3 linked regions of the Elephas maximus indicus genome follow. The main gene of each other region encodes a partner of the protein of the gene in region 3 in a complex. Links are inferred from orthologs where the notes say so. Each region holds a gene or a part of one and is shown on either strand. Other genes may lie near its edges. The genes, in order: PPFIA1, PPFIBP1 and ERC1.

Region 1 (7,665 bases), on a different chromosome or scaffold from region 3:
AAACATGGTAATTTATAAGTGGGTTTTTAATAAGAAAACACTCTATCATGCTCTCATCCAACCGAAAGAGAACACACAGAAATCTTATCAAATCGTTGCTGCTACAAAGGAAATCCAAATGTCGGGCTTATCAATCTTTCAAGAGAATCGGCTAAAGCCAAGAAATGCATTAAGGCCAGTAATTATCAATTTACTAATTTATCACTGCAGACCCATCAGGAAGGTTCTGCGTAACTGTATGCTTATCCAGGTCTACCTGAAAGCTCCATAAAGGCACACGCTCTGAATAGGTAACATGGCACCCAGACATCCCATCAACACCTCTGTCACCTAGACATGGCCGCTGCACGCCAACACTCACTGTACACTTTCCTAGTTTTACTACTTTCCCCCTTCACCTATCACTGAATCCTCATTCAACTCCTTAACGAAAGGCTTTGAAACACTGGTCCAAACGTAATATACTTAGAATAACAACTTCAAGGTGACCTTAAGCCTGATCGTTTTCATCTGCCAAGGAAAAGTTCCTAAGGTGTCTATCTCCACTCTTCCAACCCCTAAAACAAATCTGGTTTAGAAAACAGGTGTTCTGGTAAAGGGGGGCTGTAAAAAAATTTTTCTTTCCTCTGAAATCTATCCTATTTGCCTACTGATTTTCTTTAGGAAATTGGAAAGGCATGAAAAAGAATGCATGGGAAATACACTCTGGGCAAGAGGCAGCTGAAGACAATGGAACCGAAGGCCCCACATAGCCTGACTGGTTCACGGTCTTTCTCAGAAATGCTGGAGCACTGTCCCACACCTAGACAATCCCTTCTGCTGCCCCAGGACAGGAATGAGAGTTGTAAGGTATTTTCACGTGACTCTGGAGTACCACAGAGTTTGTTCTCCCTACGAAGTTTTAGCCCCGGGAACTTCATCACCAGAAGCCGCCATTTCATAACTAGTTGTACAAAATGCTCACAGAACCATTAACAGAAAGTGACACCACACGAAAGCCTTTAGTGGAAACCTCGGCAGCATCTGTACCTGTGGAAGTGCAGTGTTGAGCTGTCTCTGCAAGGAGTCTCGCTCGTGCCCAACCTCGTGTAACTTCCCCTGGGTGAGCGCCAGCGTTTCCTGAGTCTCTCTCAGCGTATCGAGAAGACGGTCCCTTTCTTCCAGCATGGAGACCATTAACTGTTCAAAGTGGGAGTCTGCATCAGGCTGGGATGGGGAGCCGGACCCATGGCTCCCGCCTCCTCCTGAGGGGCCTTCTGCTTCACTGATGGTCGGCATCACCTCGCACATCATCTGGAAATGACAGACACAGACTGGAGTTGGTATGAGCAAAACAAAGGTCCCCACAGGTCTGCAACTTTATAGGTATCTACAGCTTGGAACCAACCTGACGGCAACGGGTTTGGTCGGGTTTCATGGCTAATACACAGGAGCCTGGGTGCAGCAAGTGGTTCGAGATTGGCTGCTAACCTAAAGGCTGGTGGTGAAAACCCACCCAGCACTCCGTGGGAGAAAGGCCTGGTGATCTCCTTCCGGAATTAGAGACAAGAACGGAGCACTTCTACTGAATACCACACAGGGTCACCGTGACTCAGAACTGGCTGGAGGGCAACAGGTTTTCGTTTTTGTTTTTTAGCTAATAAAAGAAAAAGGCGTCCGCCCCATTCTTCTCAGGTCTGATTGTTATGCTCCACATATAAACTGGAAATGCAAACACATGTGAAACCTTCGGCAGTCACGCCAGATGAAGACATTAACCTCAAAAATAACCCAGTGGAGCAGTAAAGACTGAGGAGGGCTACCCATCTCATAAAGAACAAACCCTAAGGGATTTTGTTTGCAAAGCGGTATTTTTGTTGTTGAAAACAAGAGTGCTTCTGTAACCCTTTTTTTTTTTTTTTTTTTTTCCTATTTCCCGGTGGGGAAGAAAAAGTCAAAACACATGCCACCCAATCTTTTTTTTTTTTTTTTTTTTTTTCAGGGAAAGCACAGAAGGAGCACACAGCCAGTAACACTGACAAGTACAAAATCCACCAGGCATCTGGCAAGAATGTGTACAGTCAGCTCCTGGGAAGGAATGACGGCTCCCTGAATTCTTGGATTTGGAGAGCAGTAAAAGGAACTGGATTCGGGAAGGGCTGGGAGAGGTGTTTTTCAATGGCTGCAACAGTTGGTCAGTCAACCTAACTTTTACGTAAGTTTACAGCGCAAAGAAAAAAAATTCCACAATGGAAACACCGCAGGTCGACACAGCCGGGGTCAGCCAGGAAGGAAGGAAAAGTGAAAGGTGAGACGATGGCAGACTGGGAAATGTCTCAAATACAAGGACGGGACGAGGGGATGGAAGCGGCGCTCACTCCCGAGGGTTCTGGGCTGTGTTCGGCCACCGCCGACCCCCCGAGAGAGGTGCCCAAGACGGCGCCCCCGGCAGTGACCATGACCTCGAGCCCACTCGCCCTCCCTTCCCCTCCTGCACCAGGTGCCACGGGCGCCCCCGACCCCGGGGTGCTGAGAGCCGTCCGCACCGGGGGCCCGGCGTGTGCTGGCGCCCCGGTCAGGGCTGCAGGCGCCACCAGTCCTCGCCCCTCGCGCCCAGCTCGCCACCCCCGGGGCGCTGGGTCCGGGAGGGAGCGGCGCGTCGCCCGGGCGCCCGGTCCCAGGGGCGGAGAGGGCGGCAGAGAGCACCGGGGCGCGCGGCCGCTGGGGTCCCGCCGGGGTCCCCCTCCGCCCCGGCCTCGCCCCCCGCCCCGCCGCGGCCCCCGGAGGGTCCCGGTGCCCGAGGGTGACATCGGACGGCGGCGCAGCCCCTCGGCGGGCGCTGGAGGCCCGCCGCGCCCGAGGCCGGCGCTCGCAGGGGACCCCGGCCCGCGTCGCCCGCCTGCCTCAGTCTCCCCGCGCGCCCTCACCTTGCTCGCCGGGGAGCGGGAGGAGGCTCCGCGGCGGCTCGCGGGCGGCCGCTCGCTCCGGCGCGCTCAGGGCCCACGAAGGACGCCCGCGGCCGGCGCCCGCTCGCCCAGCCGCCCGCCCGACGCCCGCGCCCGGCCCGCCGTCGCCAGTCACGAAGGCCGGCCCGCGGCCGGACTCTGCCGAGCGGAGGAGGAGCGGGCCCGGCCTGCGCGTCACCGGCGTCAACGTGCCCGACGTCGGACGCGTCGCGCGAGCGTCAGCGCCGGCGCGCCGGACGCCCCGCCCCCGGGACGGGCGCCCACTGCGCAAGCGCCGCCTCCTCAGGGCCGGGCGGCCGCGCGGCCCGAGCGCTGATTGGCTGCGCGCCCAAGCCCCGCCCCCAGCCCACCTGGGGAAGGTGGGGAGCGACTGACTGCTCCCGGCGCAGGTCCTGGCCGGGCGGCGTCGAGGTCTCTCCTTAACCGCCGCCGGAACAGCATGGCCTTTATACAGCGTCAGTTGTGCTTCAGGTCTGCGCCAGACGCTTCCCAGCATCCGGTGCACCCTGGGCCCGGGGCAGGAGGCGGGCGCACGCCCACCCGAGGCCGAGGGGCGGGGGAAGCCCACGAGTGTCGCCTCCAGACCCTCCTCAGGTGGCCTCCCGGACCGAGGCCGTGCAGCACAAGGAAGGACGCGGCTTTTACACCAGAGCCGTGGTTAAGCTTTACCTTCGGTACCTAGGCAGGCGAAGATGCGGAATGCAGGCTGTGGAACCGGGCTCGCTGGTTCTCCTCCCAGCGCTGTTAACTTTACCCTCAGCGTGGGCCTGAGTAACACCGAAACCCCTCTGGGAGTCAATGGCCCACCTGTACAATGGGAAAATGGTACAGACCTACCTGCAAGGTGGTTTTGAGGAACAGAACATCCCTAAAGCAACGAGTTGGGAGCCTGGCTGTGGAGGTGTTCCATCGGGGTGGCCACTTCTGTCCTCTCTGCAAACATTCGTCAGCTGCCAATCAAAAGGTTGGCAGTTAAAATCTGACAGCTGCTCCGTGAAAACCCTATGGGGCAGCTTAACTGTGTCCTATAGGGTCACCGTGAGTCAGAATCGACTCCACGGCAATGGGTTTGGGTTTGTTTGTTTGTTTGTTTGTTTGTTTACTGTGTGCCCATTTTGGTCTGCCAGAAGAACAATACAAACCCGTTTTGGAAGACGTACAGCAAGAATGCTAATTAGAAGCAAGGATGGTGAGACTTCCTCTCCCATACTCTGGACATACTGTCAGGAGAGACCAGTTCCTGGAGAAGAACATGATTTTTGGTAGAGGGTCAGCAAAAGAGAGGAAGACGCTCAGCGAGATGGATTGACACAGTGGCTGCAACAATGGGCTCAAGCATAACAACGATTGTGAGGATGGCACAGGACCAGGCAGTGTTTCCTTCGGTTGTGCATAGGGTCACTATGAGTTGAAACCGACTCGACAGCACCTAAAAACAACTGTGTGCCCAGTCCTCTTCCAGGTGTTCCAGACACAGAGATTAATAAATACCCTTTAATAAACTAAAGCAGATGCTTACCTCCTACCCACCCACCCACCTCAGAGTCTGACTCCTGGAGCATAAACTCTTCACAAACCAAATCGTCAGAATGTCACTGTGTGAAGGTGAGGCAGCCAGGAGCCCCTGGACCAATCAGGTCTAAAGGCTGCATGGCATGGGGGCAATTCTTCCAAGGCAGGTTACTTGATTTTCCGACGTGAGCTCACCAAGAGCAAGGGCTTCCTGGGATTGACTTGCCTCCCAGGTGCCGGTATCACGCCTTCCTTCCATCCATTTATTCTTTCGTTCAACAAGTACTTATTGAATGACTACACATAGGTGTTCAATTTTCAGCTCTGGCCCTTGGTTCTTTGCTACTTTAAAATTGTAAAGGTGATCACTTAGTTCTGGGAAGTGTTGTCCAGCTACCATTCCCCCCCGACACACCAGCAATTCCGGACCAGTCCCCCGGGTCACCAATCAGGGTCTACAACAAAAGAAAATGTCCAGCCCTCCTTAGGTGTACCTGCTTAGTTCATCCAACCCTTACTTGCACCATAGCTCGTGAAGTGCTTTTCTCCTGAGAAATGCCAAAATTTAGTTCAACAGGGTAGACTTCCACTCATTCCGTCAACGTTTGCCCAAGCACCTGTGAGCCAGGTACTGGCCTAGGTCTGTTGTCCTATAAAGGGTGTGTGACCTGGTGCTGTGGGACCACAGAGGAGTGGAAACCAACTCTCCATCTGGCATCACAGACGACCTGATGTAACATCTGAGCTGGATCTAGAAGGAGGAGGAGTTTTCCAAGCAGAGAAGGGAGAAGCCCATTTGGTGTAGCTCCAGGAAAATGAAAATCCCAAATTTCATTCATTCATTTCATTCCTCCAAATTGCAAAATCAGTAAGGAAAAGCATAAACCTCAACGACCTCACTAAGTAAATCATTGCACTTCCAAATGACAGAATACTTAATGATATTCACAGTTGGAAAACTAAAGTGTGCCTGACCCAAGCCATGGTATTTTCATTCACCTCATGTGCACATGAAAGCTGAACAGTAAGGAAGACCAAAGGAGAATTGATGCCTTTGAATTATGGTGTTGGTGAAGAATATTGAATATACCACGGACTGCCAGAAAAAAAACGAACAAATCTGTCTTGGAGGAAGTACCACCAGAATGCTTATTAGAAGGGAGGGTGGAGAGACTTCGTCTTAGGTACTTTGGACGTGTTATCAGCAGGGATCAGTCCCTAGAGAAGGACATCACGCTTGGTAAGGTAGAGGGTCAGAGAAAAAGAGAAAGACCCTCAATGAGATGGATTGACACAGTGGCGCAACAATGGGCTCAAACATAGCAATGATTGTGAGGATGGCTCAGGACCAGGCAGTGTTTCTTTCTAATTGCTATGAGTCAGAACCGACTCAACGGCACCTAACAACACTACCGCCAAGGCAGACAAAAGGAGGTATGGTGGTTCAGTGATTAAGTGCTCGTCTGCTAACCGAAAGGTCAGCTATTCAAACCCACCAGTCACTCTGCAGGAGAAAGATGTGGCAGTCTGCTTCCATAAAGATTACAGCCTTGGAAACCATATGGGGCAGTTCTACTGTGTCCTATAGTGTCACTATGAATCGGAATCGACTCAAGTGCAGTGGGTGTGGGGCGTTGTTAGATGCCGTTGAGTCAGGTATGGGGTAAGCAGCCTAAAGAGCGGGGTTCCTGTTGAGGTGCAGGAGTGACCCAGCCTCCATCCCGGAGATCAGGGTGTGCCACAGTCTATCTGGAATATGTAAAGGAACGTAATGGATGTCGTTGTGGCAATACAGTTTGGGAAGATGTGAGCTAGAAGAGCCATGTGGGGGACAGCGTGGACCTTGGAGGGTGTAGCCCCCTGTCATGGATTGAGCGGTGTCCCCCCAAAAATATGTGTCAACTTGGTTAGGCCATGATTCCCAGTATTGCGTGGTTGTCCTCCATTTTGTGACTCTAATTTTATGTTGAGAGGATTAGATGGGATTGTAACACCAGCCTTACTCAGGTCACCTCCCTGCTCCAAGGTAAAGGGAGTTTCCCTGGGGTGTGGCCTGTACCACCAGAGATACAAGGAGGGGGAAACAAGCAGAGAGCGGGGGACCTCATACCACCAAGAAAGCAGCACCAGAAGCAGAGCGCATCCTTCGAACACGGGGTCCCTGTGCCTGAGAAGCTCCTCGACTGTGGGAAGATTGAGGACAAGGACCTTCCTCCAGAGCTGACACCCTGAATTTGGACTTGTAACCTACTAGACTGTTAGAAAGTAAATTTCTCTTTGTTAAAGCCACCTACTCGTGGTATTTCTGTAATGGCAGCACTAGATGACTAAGACACCCCGCCTTTCAGGGGAGGAAACTGAGACCCAGAGATGCAAAGTGATTTGCCCACAGGAACCCAGCTTAGTTTGGGGCCTGAGCCAGGACTGGTCATCATGTTGCAGTGACACAGGAGTGGTCACTTTAAGGCATAATCAAAAAGTAAGCATTCTCTCAGTGGGTCTGCAGTGCAGCCCAGGTAATCCAGTCCCCAGGACGCGCCTTTCCCTGAGGAGGGCTAGGAGCCCAGGGCTTCATCCTCTTGGCCGCATCGGCTTTTACAGCCGACGCTTTTCACGCTTCCCATAAGGTTGGTGGAGCTGTGGTAGTGCAGTGGTTAAGAGCTCAGCTGCTAACCAAAACATCTGGCAGTTGGAGTCCATCAGCCGCTCCTTGGAAACCCTGTGGAGCAGCTCTATTCTGTCCTATAGGGATTCTAACTATGAATCAGAATCAACCTGATGGCAACGGGCACAAGGTCGGTAAACGAGGAGAAAGGGGAAGGAACACAGAGCTAACATTTTATTTATTTGTCTTTCTAAGTCTTAATGCCTCATATGGCCATTCCTGTATTCTTCCCATTTCACAGATGAGTAAACTGAGGTCCAAACATCTGCAAAGCAGGGGAGACCATTGGCCCAAGTGTTCTGGTTTCCATGGCAGCTCCATTTCTCATTGTAAACCAAATAATTGAAATTTGGGTCCATCAATGTGCCTGTCATAGGGGTGGTTAGTACCTGTCATGTCCCTGGGAGCATAGGCAGCTCTGGGTGAACTGAGAATAAGAAAACCACCAAGTGTATCCTACATCCTTTTACAGATGAGAACACAGGCTCAGAGAGATTCAGTAATGTGTCCAAAGTCCTCAGCCATAATTTGTTCAAGGCAAGA
Region 2 (7,916 bases), about 29 Mb from region 3:
AGGCGGCCTAACAGCACTTTAAAAAAATTTTCCTTAGAGTGAAAAGGGAACTGGGATCACATAAGGGATAAAATTAAAACAAAGCTGTTGTACTATAATTTTTTTTCTCTTGTTCTAATCAGCTACTCTAGCCTCTAAATTTTAGAATAAGTGACAAAAGATTCACAGCATGGGGCTTTTAACATGCAGAGACACCTACCATTTGGCTCTGAAGCCATTCCATCAGCGTTTCTGCTGTTGAATCTGGGATCTGGCACCTCAAGCCTTCTTTCTCATCTGTTTCCATCATCTCCAACAATCCACGCAGGTCCTCCACAAGGTGCAGTGCTCGCAAGCTTCCCATGAATGGGGAGGTGGGAGACTGGCAATCAAAAATCCCATTAGAATATTCCAGGGCCTTAGAACCTAGGTTAAAAATATCACAAGGAAAGCGATGGGGTTTACATTAGATAAAACGCCAGAGCTGAAGATAGTAAACAAGTTTAATTACAATAAGGAACAATCAAACCAAAACAAAGAACGGGAAAAAAACACGGGGGGGGGGGGGTCAGATAATAATTCAATCATGTAAATCCCCCTCCACACCATAGTTATATGGTACAAAAATATACCATATACAGTCCATCCTCATTATTTCATATTTGCCAACTGGCCTACTCACTAAAATTTATTTGTAACCCCAAAATCAATACCCATGGTGCTTTCGTGGTCATTCACAGATACGTCCACTCAGAGAGCGGCAAAAAATTTGAGGAGCTCAGTGTACAACCCTGGTTTGGTATTCACTAATTCAACGTTCGTAGGAATTTACAGAACATAACTACACGAACAATGAGAATCAGCTGTAATCAATAGTCCAATCCCTAACAGAAAGGCCAACTGTTAAGCAGAAAAAAGGTACGGTGGGTTTTGGCAAGAAGTACACTGGCCTCTACCTGAAAACCTCTGACGGAGGGAGGCAGGTCAGTTTGTATGGAGCTACGCATTCCAGAAAACACAAATTTTAGGGACCAGGAAGTCTTTAAACTCTTTTAAAAAAGTTACACATTGAAGTGGAAACTGCATAGCATAATTTCAAAGGTAAGAAAAGAAGGCCAGTTTCCAGTTAATTTACCAGAATTTAATCTCTGAAGAAGTTCAATGAATTACATGTGTATGTGTGTGTGAGCATGTTTGTATAAATACTTTTCCCCATGATTTTGTTTGCAGCCTAAACCTCAAAAAGGCTACTGTTAATGTCAGCTTTTTTTTAACAATAGTTATACGGTTAGTTTTATAGTTAAAACATTTATATAGTTAGCTTTCTATTACTTCCAATGAAACCATTCTACCATACTACTTAAATTCACACTGCTAATCCATAGCCCATTCTGATGTGTCAAATATACAAACTACTTGTTTACTAAAACATACAAGTCCCATTCCAGTGGTTCTTAAGCATTAGCATTACTGACGAGATTACTATAAATATATATGCCCATATCCCTCCACAACAAGGCATCTAGGAAAAAAAAAAAAAAATCTAGGAGAATATATAAATCGTAAATCCTTCAAATAATGCTCCAAAAAATCACTTATCTCAACCAGAGTTTTGCTAAGAATGTAAGGTTATACTCTCTGGCAAAAGCCTAGAATTGATTCTAGTTATATTTTCAGATATCCTAGAAGAGTCAGTTCAATCTCTCTTCCACAAAATAGCCCTTCAATGTTTGAAAACATATATCATGCCCCAAGTAAGAACAGTTTTCTAGATTACATTTAACTAGTTCCTTCAAATGATCTTTACTAATGTGACTGTTTTATTCTTCACCATCATGTTTGCCACCTCTAGACAACTTTTAGCTTGCCAATAACCCTTTGAAAACAATATTCCAAAAACTGAATACAGTATTCAATGTGCAGTCTAATATGCAAAGGAGATTCAACTGAAGTCTGGTCTCTAGGACAGAGTATAACAGATAAGGTCAAACTATGACATGCCACTTTCCTCAGGAGAAGCCACCACTGCAAGGGGGTCACCTACTTGTCACCCCCTCTGCCATGATGAGCAAACAAGGATGTAGTGATCTTTGCTCTGCTGTCACAATAGAAAACTGTTGACGATTCTTAACCAGGGAGTAATCCAACCAAGTCTGTGTTTTAGAAAGTGATGTCTGGTGGTCTAGGAAAGAATGGACTAGAGTGGAAAAGCCAGAATATCCGGACATCGAGTGGGTGGGTGTCTTGGACAAGCCAAGACAATGGTAGCACAGACAGGACAGATTCTAGAAAGGATAAAAGGAAGAGGCAGAATTTTAGGAGGAGGTAGAAATGTTAGAATTCGATTAATTAAATGTGGAGCATGAGGGACAAAAGTATCTGGAACGACTTAAATTTCTTGTTTAAGAAACTATGTGGATGAAGGGTTATGAACAGAAAGGCTTCCAAGGAAAGATAACGACCTTAATGTGTTAAATGATGACAGTGATGTACCTACAGGACATTTCAGGAGAGATATCTGGTTGGCAGTTAGAGATAGCAAAGAATTTTGAAGCTTAGCAAAGAATTGGGAAAGTCAAAGATATGGATGAGAGAGTCACTGAAGGAAAAGTGAATGTTGAGTTCAAGGAAGCAGATCAGAACATGCATAGATACTAGGTAAAGAAGTGTCCTTCCAGGCGCAGCCCACAGACCACTGTACCAGAATCATCAAGATGCAGATTCTTTATCATTGATCAGAAGCTAGGGTGGAATTGGATTTTAATTGGATTTTGGATTTTAAACTAATGCTTGAGGATAATTCTGGTATAGAATGGAAAAGGGCAGAAAAGATGAAACCATAGGGAACCTAAAGGCACTGGAGAGAGTCAAAACACAGAAACAAGAAAGAAGATAGGAAGATAATAAGAGAGTTGTAATGAAAAAGCCAAGAGAGCTGAGTACATGCCATGATTCCAGCTTCTGGAAGACATGGATTACCTGCTATAATACCGTCCATCTGTTCCAACGCTGCAGCCAACATGTCACTTGCATCACTCATCATTTTCTTATATTTCAATGGCAAATTCCAACCTAGATCTGAAAAAATAATGATGTTATCATTACATCCTTTAAATAACACATGCTTGCTATTGCTAGCAGGTTTGCTGATTCAACTTCAAATTATAACTCCACTTAGCAGTCATATCTGAAGACAGGACTTCTAAAGTAGTTAAGCTGAGTTAACTGAATCATTCAACAAGCCGTGGTCAAGCATCTACTGTACTGCAAGACCACAGGCTACATCTGTATCAGTTAAAGTTTCAGTCCTTGTACTCAAGGTATTTAAAACTCAATAGAATGCTTTTCACGCTATATTCTGTAGAGCTCTAGGACTCTCTGAAGTGCTTTGGGAATGGCTATGGAATCTTGCTGAGGACCATGACTGCTGAGTAGACAAGACTTCCTTCTCCTTGCACCAGCCCCACTCAATCTCTGCTATCTTAACTTTGCTACCCCTTCCCTTTTATTGGAGCACCAGTGGTGCAATGGTTAAGACCTCGGGTGCTAACCAAAAGGTCGGCAGTTAGAACCTACCAGCTGCTCCTCGTAAACCCTATGGGGCAGTTCTACTCTGTCCTACAGGGTCACTATGAGTTAGAATCGACTCGACAGCGATGGATTTGGTTTTGGTTTTTTCCCTTGTGTTAGGGTTTACCATAAGATCTGTCTAAGAAAACAGCTTCACTCACATATATACTAAACACACACATATACAAACATACTGGTATTTTAGAATGTAACAATAAACCCATTGCCATCAAGTCAATTCCGACTCACAGTGACCCTACAGGACAGAGCAGAACAGAACTGCCCCATTGGGTTTCCAAGAAGCAGTGGTGAGTTCGAACTGCCAGCCTTTTGGTTAGCAGCCAAACTCTTAACCACTTCACCACCAGGGCTCCAATGTAACAATACCTACCATGTATTGAGTGCCTACAATGGTCTCTATACATTCATATAATTTATCCATAATCTTTAATAGTGACAACTCTATAAAATGGATATATTTATCTCCATTTTATAGATAAAGACCAAAGACATTTGTTGAGTTTTGCATAAACACACAGCAAGTAAATATAACAAAGCTCATTTTAACCTAGATCTGTCTAATTTCCACTACAATATCGAACTTCTGTTAATCTGATCTCATCTGGGCAAGTGTTCAGAAACAATAAATCTCCGTGTTTTCACAGACTTTGACAGTATAAATGAAGGATCACGGGGCCTATTTCATGTTGAAATTGTGTCAGAATCTATTCATCTTTCTACCTGTTTAAAAATATATTGAGGTCTTAAATGCTAACAAGCGGCCATCTAAGATGCATCAATTGGTCTCAACCCACCTGGATCAAAGGAGAATGAAGAACACCAAGGTCACACAATAACTAAGAGCCCAAGAGACAGAAAGGGCCACATGAACTAGAGACTTACATCATCCTGAGACCAAAAGAACTAGATGGTGCCTGGCTACAACCGATGACTGCCCTGGCAGGGAGCACAACAGAGAACTCCTGAGGGAGCAGGAGATCAGTGGGATGCAGACCCGCAATTCTCACAAAAAGACCATACTTAATGGTCTGACTGAGACTAGAGGAATCCCGGCAGTCATGGTCCCTAAACCTTCTGTTGGCCCAGGACAGGAACCATTCCCGAAGACAACTCAACAGTCATGAAAGGGACTGGACAATGGGTAGGAGAGAGATGCTGATGAAGAGTGAGCTAATGATATCAGGTGGACACTTGAGACTGTGTTGGCATCTCCTGTCGGGGGGGGAGGGGGATGGGAGGATAGAGAGAGTTGGAAGCTGGCAAAATTGTCACGAAAGGAGAGACTGGAAGGGCTGACTCATTAGGCGGAGAGCAAGTGGGAGAACGGAGTAAGGTGTATATAAACTTATATGTGACAGTCTGACTTGATTTGTAAATGTTCACTTGAAGCTCAATAAAAGTTAATTAAAAAAACAATAAAAAAATAAATTATTAAAAACAGCATTAAAAAATATATTGAAATCACTCTTGCAAAAAATTTGGTCATTCACAAGGAAAAGTTAAGATTATGTGACTTTCAACATTAATGAATACATTTCAAGTAGCAGACTAAGCATCCATGTATATTCTCCCAACAGGCCTGAATAAGATGACTCCTCTTTGCAGACACCGTGGTATAGCAATGACCTGGTAAAGAAAAAGTATGCTGTTTAACAGAAACCTTTGTCCTGTTTCTAAGCAGCCCGATCTCACCTACCACTTTATGTTCATAAATATACATACAGTTCGAGTAAACAGCATCTCACTCAGTTCTCTACTATGCATTCAATCTAGTAAAATGCCATATAATCACTGTGAAATCTTACTTTGATTTTACAGTAGTTTCATCTAAGAGTTTTCTAGAAATTTACTCACTTCAAAAGGTGTAAATTATCACCACCATTTTATGTGGGAAAACTACAGTATAAAAATGCTCAAGGCAGTTGTATAAAGTCACTCAGAAACCACTGGGTGGGGGAAAATGAGGGTGGGGGTTTAACCCAGATAGTTTTCAAAACCTTACTTGCACGTTCAGCTAGTGCACAGTCCAAAGGGAGAGGGTACAAAAGCAACAACTGCCTTCGTGCTGGAAAACTCAGAATGTGATAATGGAGAACACAAAGGATCAAGCCGAAGAATGCAAGCTACCTGAATTTCATATAATTAAGTGGCTTTTACTCCCTTTCATTTTAAAAGTAGCACTTCAAAGAGCTCTAGATATTCTGATATACACATATTAAAAACAAATGGACACATGCCAGGCTTAGCTATAAACATGGCGGATACCAATAAAACAGAGTAATACCCGTGTTAGAAAAACACTCTCACCACCTCACAAAATCAGAAAAATATGTGTCTTTGTTAGCAGCTGTATTTTGCATAGAGTACAAGCATTTTTTACAAGTATGATAGGTAGTTATCTATTTCTTCTCTGTTCTTTCAACGAGACTTTCAAATGCTGTGATATAGAGGCACGGGACAACCTAAATTGCACTTTTCAAACTGATGAAGAACCAGTTTTTTTTTTTTTTTCCCTAATTCATTAAAAACCAATACTTCTTTTAATATATAAAAATATTGTGACAATATTAAATTGCTATAAAAGTTTATAAAAACTCTCAATCGCTATACTTATTATGTAGTAGACTAGGATCGGCTGAGTGCAACTTGGAGTACCACAAAGCTAGACCACCTATGGAAACCCTGGTGGAGTTGTGGTTAAGTGCTACGGCTGCTAACCAAAGGGTCAGTAGTTCAAATCCGCCAGGCGCTCCTTGGAAACTCTATGGGGAAGTTCTACTCTATCCTGTAAGGTTGCTATGAGTCAGAATTGATTTGATGGCAATGGGCTTATGATAAACATGTTCAAGGCCTTAAAAGGTAAAGATGACGATAACGAGTGAACAGTTTGAGAATCTTAGAAGCGAAAAGAAAACTATTTAAAAAAAAACAAATATAAATTATTCAAATTGGGTGGAAATGATACCACGTGGAAGCTTAAATCTACATAAAGGAATGAAAAGTACATAGTAAACACAGAAAATATAAATATGTTTATAAAATTTTTTTAAAATCATTTTCCTTTTCTTTTTTACTTTAAAATACAATTGACAATTTAAAGAGGAAAATACACTGTAAGGCTGTTAGTATATGGAGTAGTAAAATATATGGCAAAAATAATGCAAAGGATAGAAGGGGGTTAAGTGGAAGTATAGTATTGTTGAATGCTTACATTATACATGAAGATGTTTAATACTAGTTCATGATAGATGGATAATAAGTTAAGAATATATAATGCAATCCACTGAAACTATAAAACAAAGATATACAGGTATGTGCTGCATAACGTCCATCCGGGCAATGTCCAACCACACAAACATCCAAGGTCCCATAAGGTTATAACAGAGCTCAGAGATTCTGATCAGAGAACAGGACATAGCAGAGGTACTTTAGTAAGTACTGTAGATCCTAGATGTCCCTCACTAGCTCTCTGGATCCTGTGTCAACCCCGGCCCTGGGGCGGCAGGAGGGAGGGGTCCCAATGCCCATCCACACATGCCTGTCCCACTGTGCTCACCTCTGGCAGGGACCATGCAGATGCTGCCACAGCACCAAAGGGGATGCCCCGCGAGGCCACTGCCCCACTCGGCCAGGGCGGCCTGTGCATTATGGCCAGGCCTGAGACCATAGCTCCTCCCACGGTAGCAGCCACAGAGCAGTCTGGGCTGCAGCAGTGGTGGGAGGAGGAACAGGAAAGGCAACCTTAATACTCAATCCAAAAGAAGGCAGAAATGAAGGTAATACAGACGTATGAGAGAAACAGAAAACAAACGGCAAGACAGTAGACTTAAACTCAACTATATAAATAATTACATTAAATATACATGGAACATTTTAATAAAAGCCAGAGACTGTCATACCAGCACACATGTACAAAAAACCCTGAGTATATATATTTTTATATATTGTTTATAAGAGGTGTTCTTTAAGTATGAAGAAATATAAATGTAAAAGAATGGAAAATGAGAAGCCATGCACAGAGAAAGCATAAGAAAGCAGGAGTGGTTATATTAACATAACAAAAACTAGACTTCAAATCAAGCATCACTGGAAATAAAGCAGGACATTTGATAATGTTAAAAGAGTCAATTCATCACGAAGGCATAGCAATCACAAATGTTTCTGCACACTTCAAAATACATGAGGCAAAAGCTGACAGAATTAAGGAATAATTAGACAAATTTCATCCATTTATATTTAATATAATTATTAATATGATTGGGGTTAAGTCTATTGTCCTGTTATTTTTTTCTGTTTGTCCCATCTGTCATTTATTTCTGCTTTTTCAATCATCTTTTGAGTTGGTA
Region 3 (7,483 bases):
TCTGGGAAATTTTCTTCTATTACTTTTTGGGCAATTTTTTCTCCTTCATTTATTTTATTTTTCTTTCTAGTGTAAGACTAGTCCTGTTGAATTGACCCTCTATTTTTCTTGTATTTTCTCTCACAATGTTCGTCACTTTGCATATTTCTTCTCTGTTCTTTGATATTTAATAGACATTTTATCTTCCACACTTCAATTGACTATGTTGTTGCTAGGCACGGTCAAGTCTGTTCCAATTCATTGTGACCCTGTGTACAACAGAACAAAACACTGCCTGGTCCAGTGCCATCCTCACAATCATTGTTATGCTTGAGCCCATCACTGCAGCCACTGTGTAAATCCGTCTTATTGAGGGTCTTCCCCTTTTTTGCTGACCCTCTAATTTACCAAGCATGACATCCTTCTCCAAAGACTGGTCCCTCCTGATAACATGTCCAAAGTACGTGAGAGGAAGACTTGCCATCCTCACTTCCAAGGAGCCTTCCAGCTGTACTTCTTCCAAGTCAGATTTGTTTATTCTTGTGGCAGTCCATTGTATATTCAACATTCTTCACCAACACCATAATTGAAGGGCATCAGTTCTTCTTTGGTCTTCCTTATTCATTTCCCAGCTTTCACATGCATTTGGAAACCAAAAAACCCATTGCTGTCAAGTGGATTCAGACTCATAGCAACCCTGTAGGACAGAGTAGAACTGTCCCATAGGGTTTCCAATGAATGGCTGGTGGATTCGGACTGCCAACCTTTTGGTTAGCAGCTGTGCTCTTGAACAATGCACCACCAGGGTTCCACATACATATGAGGCAATTGAAAATACCATGACTTGGGTCAGGTGCACCTTAGTCCTCAAAGTGACATCTTTGCTTTTTAGCATTTTAAAGAGGTCTTTTGCAGCAGATTTGCCCAATGCAATACATCATTTGATTTCTTGACCGCTGCTTCCATGGGAGTTGATTGTGTATCCAAGCAAAATGAAGTCCTTGACAATTTCAATATTTTCTCTATTTATCATGATGTTGTTTATTGGTCTAGTTGTGAAGATTTCTGTTTTCTTTATATTGAGGTGCAATCCAAACTGAAGGCTATAGTCTTTGATCTTCATCAGTAAGTTCTTCAAGTCCTCTTCACATTTCAGCAAGCAAGGTTATGTCATCTGCATATCATAGTCAGTTGGCTATAGTTTTAGCAATTTCTTATTTGAACACCCACTTTCATTCTTAGATTGTTATTTCATCATAGTACGGTATTTTTGTTTCATAGATGCAATATAAATCTATGACAGTACTAACTAGTTTTTTTTTTTTTTTAAGTTCTCTGAACCTCCTTTTTCCTCTATGGTCACATTTTCTATTTACCCCACCTGTGATCATTAAGGTTGTGTGTCAACTTGGGTGGACCATGATTCTCAGTGGTTTGGCAGTTACGATGTAGTTTGGCAGTTGTATGATGATGTAATCACTTCCATGATGAGATCTGATATAATGTGATCACCTCCATGATGAGATCTGTTGTGAGTAGCCAATCAGTTAAAAGGAAGTTTCCTTGGGGGTGTGGCCTGCATCCAATATAGGTAGACTTTCTGGCAAAGCTCGTGGACTGTTGCTTGCTCTGGATCCTGTAGCTGGCTCCCGTTTGTCCGGCCTCTGGTTCTTGGGACTTGAGCTAGCAGCTTACCTACCATCTTGCCTGCCAGTCTTGGGATTCTTCAGTCTTTGCAGCTTGTGAGCCAGATCCCTGCTGTCTGTCCTGCCAATCTTGGGTTCTACAGCCCCCGCAGCTACAGGAGAAGCCTCCAGCCTGACCCATGGACTTGAACTTTCCAGCCTCTACAACTGCATGAACCATTTCCTTGATATAAATCTCTCTATATATTTATATACTTTACTGGATTTGCTTTATTAGAGAACCTAGCCTAAGACACCACCCCATCTTTTAAATATCTAATGATCCTTAGTTGTCTGTTCATATTTAAGATGAGGCAATTAATGCTGATTAGGAGTCTTGTGAACTTGTGAGGGTCTTGCCAACTCACTCAACTTTACTTTAGGGTGAGTGAAAAGTAAACCACCTATTATGCCAGAGTGAAGAATGCTTTACTCTTAGCATTTACTCATAATAATTGCCCAAGTCCTCCCCCAGAGAGTCTGACAGCTCTTGATTAGTAGCCTTCAGTAAAAGCTTGGGTATTGTATGAGATATGGAGAGTTCTGCTGTTCTGTACCAAAAAAAAAAAAAAAAACAACCAAAGCCACTGCCATTGAGTTGATTCTGATTCACAGTTACCCTATAGGACAGAGTAGAACTGCCCTCTAGGGTTTCCAAGGCTGTAATGTTTATGGAAGCAGATGGCCACAGCTTTCTTCTGCAGAGCAGCTGGTAGGTTCAAACCACTGACCTTCTGGTTAACAGCTGAGCACTCTAACCACCGCACCACCAGGGCTCCTTCTGTTCCATATACAGACTTTTACTTAGATTCTCTGTTTTCAGCCTGCTTCTTACTCTTGCTCTCTTGTCCGTGTCTCTAAATCTCAGTCTCTCTAAAGTACTTCTAGGTCAGGCCTCCTTTGGCTCTAACATTTCTCTCCATGGTTTTCTTTGCTTTGTTTAATCATATTACATTCACTTTCTGTATATGAAATTAAAACTTTTTTTTTCTTTTTCTGATGTCCCCTGAATTGGGTTGAATAATGTTCCCAAAGATTCATGTCCATCCAGAACCTGAGACTCTGATATTACAGTATTCCTGTGTATAACTTAGTGCTTAGCATCTTAACTCTCCAGATCCACGCAGTTTAGGGATATGATGGACCTCAGACATCTAGTTCAAACCCCATTTTACAACTGAGAAAAGCAGGGCCTGAAGTAAAGTGATTTGCCCAAGGTCACACAATTAGACAGTGACAAACCGGAGAGTAAAAAGATATATTAACTCCTGGTTCACTTGCCTTCTTACCTTACACACTGTTGGGGAGTACCCTGATGGGCAGATCAAGATTTTGATGAGAAAGTCTTGACAAAGAGTCAAAGAAGGATAGTTTTTACTGCGTAAATAGTCAGATGTCCAAGCGAACGAAATATATTAGGATGATTATTTGATGATTATTCGGCAGCTATATAACCTTCTTCTCTGGCAGTACATAGGCTAACAATTGGTAGCCATATGTCAGATGTACTGAAGGGGGAGACTGTACAGCAGGGCCAGGAACTGCAATGATCTAAGTGTACGATGACCCTGGGAAGGGACAATTAGAGTGGCTGAATGTGAATACCGAGGAGAGAGGGGAAAATGTTGGAGGGATTATGGGGGTCGGTAAACTGGTTAATTACGAGGTGGGGAGAAAGGAGTGAGAGGGAGGGGTAAAACTCCTCCCCTCTCAAGGGCATTTTAAATTATTTGAACAAGCACTGCAGGGCTGGGAATAAATAGAGTTCACACCACTCTTACTTCCTCGGTTTAGAGATATTTTACCTACCTTCTTAAATTAATGGCTGCAGCTACTCTCTTTGCATGACTCTGATGAAAGAAAACCGACTGCCATTCAGTCTAAGAAAATCGAGTTGCCTGAAATAAGGCACCAGTTGTTTGGTAGACTCTCCTAGCTGTTAAGAGGACCAAATAAAACTGTTAACGTAGCACAGTATTTGGCACATAGCACGGGGGTGAATGTAAGCATTGATTTCCGCCCACACTCTGCTCTCCTCCCCTGGCATAATAACTACAGAAAAACTCACGTACACTGGCGGTGAGTCTTCTGAGATGCCCAAGTTCTTTCCCTAGAGTCGTGTGGACAGCCCGGAGTTTCTCAGCTTGTATTACTACCTTCTGCGGCCACATTTCGGAAAAGCTAAGGGTGGGGGGAAAAAATGCAACCCCTCTGGGACAAAGGGTGCCCACTGCAGAAGTGGGAGCCCAGCTGTGAATCTACTGACAACCCCAAAGCTACTCCCTAAGGCGGTGGCGGTCCCAGGGTTTGTGTAACGGGCCCTGCGAATGAGGGAGAGGGTGGGGCGTCTCTGAGGTTTGGAAAAAAGACAATTCCCGTCTTCGGGCTTCCAGGCCATTCACTTCCTACGGCAAGCAGAAGGAGACAAATGCCGCCTTTCCTCACTCCCACCTACCGCCTTTTCTCAGAGCCTGCTCTCCCTTTACCCTCCCTCGGCCACAGTGTGTGTGTGTGTGTATGAACGTATGCGAGTACGCTCGCGCTCTTTACTCTGCTTCCGCGCGGAGGTACCGCCGAAGACCTGAATCACTCCCTCTTCCTATCCCCTAACCCGCCTTCCCCCGGAAGGCGCCGGGAGGCCTGCGGGCTTCCGAATCGCGCTCCCGGGAGGGTGAGGGAAAGGGAGGTAATCGGGCGGGGAGGAGGTGGGGCAGCTCGTGGCGTCTCCCGACCCGGGGGACTGTGGGCGGGGCTAGGTGTCGCGCAGGGGGCGGGGCGCAGTGACGTCGGCGGGCGCCCGGACGGTGCTGTGGCGGTGGCGGCGGCGGCGGCGGCGGCGGTAGTGGTGGTGGCGGCAGCGGTGTCGGAGCTCGGGCGGCAGCGGCAGCAGCAGCTCAGAGGAGGGTGAGACGACCGAGATAGCGGCAGCTTGGAAGTCGGGCGGGACCTAGAGCTTCCCGCCTGTCCCTGGCGCTGGGGCTTTCGCCGTTTCTTACCCGGCTTCTTTCTTACGGCCCTGGCTAGGGCAGGGCAGAGCGCCCCCGGGGAGGGGCGGAGCCGTAGGTGAGGCTTCAGGACCCCCTCCCCCTTCTCTCTACGGGGGTGTGTGGGGCTGGAGAGCTCCGGGGGGGGGCGGACCCCACCCTAACCCACCCCAGCCCACCGGCGGGCTCCACCCAGCCGAGCTTCGGGATTGGGCGGGAGCTGAGGCGACAGATGTGGAGAACCGGGGGCAAGAGGTGGGAGTCTGGAGATGGGGGCTCGTCTGGAGATGGGGGCTCTGGGCGCTTGGCGAACGGGGGGTTTATGAGGCGTGATGCTGCGGGCGAGGTAGTGGGGAGATGGAGAAATTGGGGAGCCATGAGGTTGGGGCGCAGTCAGGGTGGATCTATGGGTTTAGGTGACCGATGTAAAATGTTGGAGATGAGGATTCCTTTTTTCCTGTTTTTTTTTTTTTTTGTGTGTGTGACACAGTGAGGTAGGAGATGAAGGGTTGTATTTCAAAAGGAAGATGGGCTGTGGATGTTGCTTTTGAGGCAGTTGGAGAAGCTATTGTACTAGGTCTCACATTTCTGTTTGAGGGTTTTGGTTATTTTTCTTATTCTAGGGGGGCGGGTGGGGAGGGTATAGGGCGCTGAGAGAAGAGAATCGCATTGCTTTGGCAAGGTTTTGATAAATTGTGAGCGTGGATAGATCTGAAGTTTTACACCCAAGAAGAGTGTGATCTTGGGTTAGACAACTTTCTTTTGGCAGCAAGCATTAGGGAATAGGTCACGTTACCCTAGTTCCTTAAAGGTGTTGTCTTCCAGTCTTTTTTCTGTGCCTAAAAGATCTTTCTATACCATCTTATTTATAAGTTTTATCCTGGCACTTCTAGAGAAGGCTTGAGAATCAGATGTTACTTTGGAGCATACATTTCTGAGTAGTAGTTGCAGGTGGTTGGGGTTGACTGCATTGGGTGAATAAAATGAACAATTTGAACAGTTCTGTTGTAGCTAATTATATGAAAAATGCCTAAATGCTTCAAAGCACGGCTGTTTTTTACAGTCCTTGTTTTCAGTAGACCTTGATATTTAGACAATTTGGGTTCAATTATTGGAGATTATTTCTCAATTGAGGATGTGTGTATAATCTTATTAAACACTATAAAAGATGAAATGAAATAATCTTTTTTTTAGGTAGGCCTCTTAATTTCTGAGGCATGTTCTTGGAGTTGAGTGCTTTTAAAATATTCTTTACTAAAATGCTAGGGGGCATTGTGCTTGACACTTTACAGGGAGATGTTACTAAGAGTAAACAGTGTTCTTCACATCAGTGTTTCACAACTTACTTAGCACAGTAAATCAGAATCTTCTTTTCTGAATTCCTGCTCCCTATTAGGTTGCAGTGTTCACTGACCTTGCATATCAGTGTCATTTAAGCTATTTCTTGCCTAGAAAACAGGTCCAGTGATAGACATGTATTATGTAATGGATAGAAGTTGTCATGACCCTCAATAACTCATTTATGGAGGAAGAGAAACCGTCATGAAGTGAAATTTAAGCAGTGACTTTCCCAAGGCTTACCCAATTTATTTGGGAAAATAGCCAGAGAAGTCTTTCGTGTGTAACCCCAAAGAGAAATATACAGATGTCAGTTTCAGTAGTTACAGGTCATTGCCTTTCTACATGCCTATTTAACGAGCAATATCTTCTAGCAAATACTTCTGCTTGTGGAGACTTACAGGGTACAGTTAAGAGGGCGTAATAGCTATTAAGTGAGAAAGGGTATGGTCTCATTTATGAGGATAAATCAAATAACTGTATTCAGACAGATTGAATTATAGGTTGGTACAGTGAATACTTTTGCTTTTGGGATAGTTACTTAAAAGGAAAAAATTAAAATTCACATATCTAGTTTTGGCTTTTCAATTTTACTTTGATTTAATTGAGTACACATGGGGTCAAATGTGACCTAAGCTACAAGGTAAAACTGTGCTGTTAAGTGATACTTGCATGACTCATAGTGGGATGTGATTCTTCTGCTTGTAGGAATGAGATCATATGATTTGAAGGAAAGTTTAAGGTAGAAATGACCTATTTCTGTTTAGAATTCCTTATGCCTGAAAAGTGCTACATTTTATTTTTCAAGAAATGTTACTTAAACATTCTTTAAAGAGGTAGAAAATCTAATCGCCAACTTTATTTGGAAAGGAAAGAGACCCTGGATAAGCAAAGCACTGCTGAAGAAGAACAAAGTAGGAGGCCTCACGCTTCCCGATCTCAGAACCTGCTATGTAGCCACAGTAGTCAAAACAGCCTCGTACTGTACAACGACAGACACATAGACGAGTGGAATAGAATTGAGAACTAAGAAGTAAATCCATCTACCTGATCTTCAGCAAAGGGCAGAAATCCATTAAATGGAGAAGAGTCCCTTTAACAGATGGTGCTGGCAAAACTGGATATCCATTTGCAGAAAAATGAAACAGGATCCACACCTCACACCATATACAAAAACTAACTCAAGATGGATCAAAGACCTAAATGTAAGACCTAAAACTATAAAGATCTTGAAAGAAAAAATAGGGACAAACCTAGGGGCCCTTAATTTATGGCACAAATAGACTATCAAACATAACTAAAAGTGCACAAACAGGAGAAGGTAAACTAGATGACTGGGATCTCCTAAAAATTAAATGCTTACGTACATCAAAAGACCTCTCCAAAAGAGTAAAAAGAGAACCTACAGATTGGCAACATTTTTTTGGCAGTGATATATCTGACAAGGGACTAATCTCAAAAATGTATAGAAAACTTCAATACCTCAACAGCAAAAAG

The links.
Region 1: ERC1 (region 3) and PPFIA1 share a complex: the UniProt entries of both Homo sapiens proteins name them as parts of the cortical microtubule stabilization complex. The link is inferred for Elephas maximus indicus from reciprocal best matches to the Homo sapiens genes ERC1 and PPFIA1.
Region 2: ERC1 (region 3) and PPFIBP1 share a complex: the UniProt entries of both Homo sapiens proteins name them as parts of the cortical microtubule stabilization complex. The link is inferred for Elephas maximus indicus from reciprocal best matches to the Homo sapiens genes ERC1 and PPFIBP1.

The regions. Positions count from the first base shown.
Region 1 is NC_064825.1:133,170,586-133,178,250, reverse strand, and holds the start of PPFIA1 (liprin-alpha-1), read right to left. Parts: upstream 3,028-7,665; 5' UTR 2,907-3,027; intron 1,294-2,906; coding exon 1,030-1,293; intron 1-1,029. UniProt on the Homo sapiens protein: May regulate the disassembly of focal adhesions. May localize receptor-like tyrosine phosphatases type 2A at specific sites on the plasma membrane, possibly regulating their interaction with the extracellular environment and their association with substrates.
Region 2 is NC_064822.1:86,402,615-86,410,530, reverse strand, and holds the start of PPFIBP1 (liprin-beta-1), read right to left. Parts: upstream 3,058-7,916; 5' UTR 3,023-3,057; coding exon 2,959-3,022; intron 406-2,958; coding exon 200-405; intron 1-199. UniProt on the Homo sapiens protein: May regulate the disassembly of focal adhesions. Did not bind receptor-like tyrosine phosphatases type 2A.
Region 3 is NC_064822.1:57,730,426-57,737,908, reverse strand, and holds the start of ERC1 (ELKS/Rab6-interacting/CAST family member 1), read left to right. Parts: upstream 1-4,466; 5' UTR 4,467-4,568; intron 4,569-4,586; exon of another isoform or gene 4,587-4,727; intron 4,728-7,483. UniProt on the Homo sapiens protein: Regulatory subunit of the IKK complex. Probably recruits IkappaBalpha/NFKBIA to the complex. May be involved in the organization of the cytomatrix at the nerve terminals active zone (CAZ) which regulates neurotransmitter release.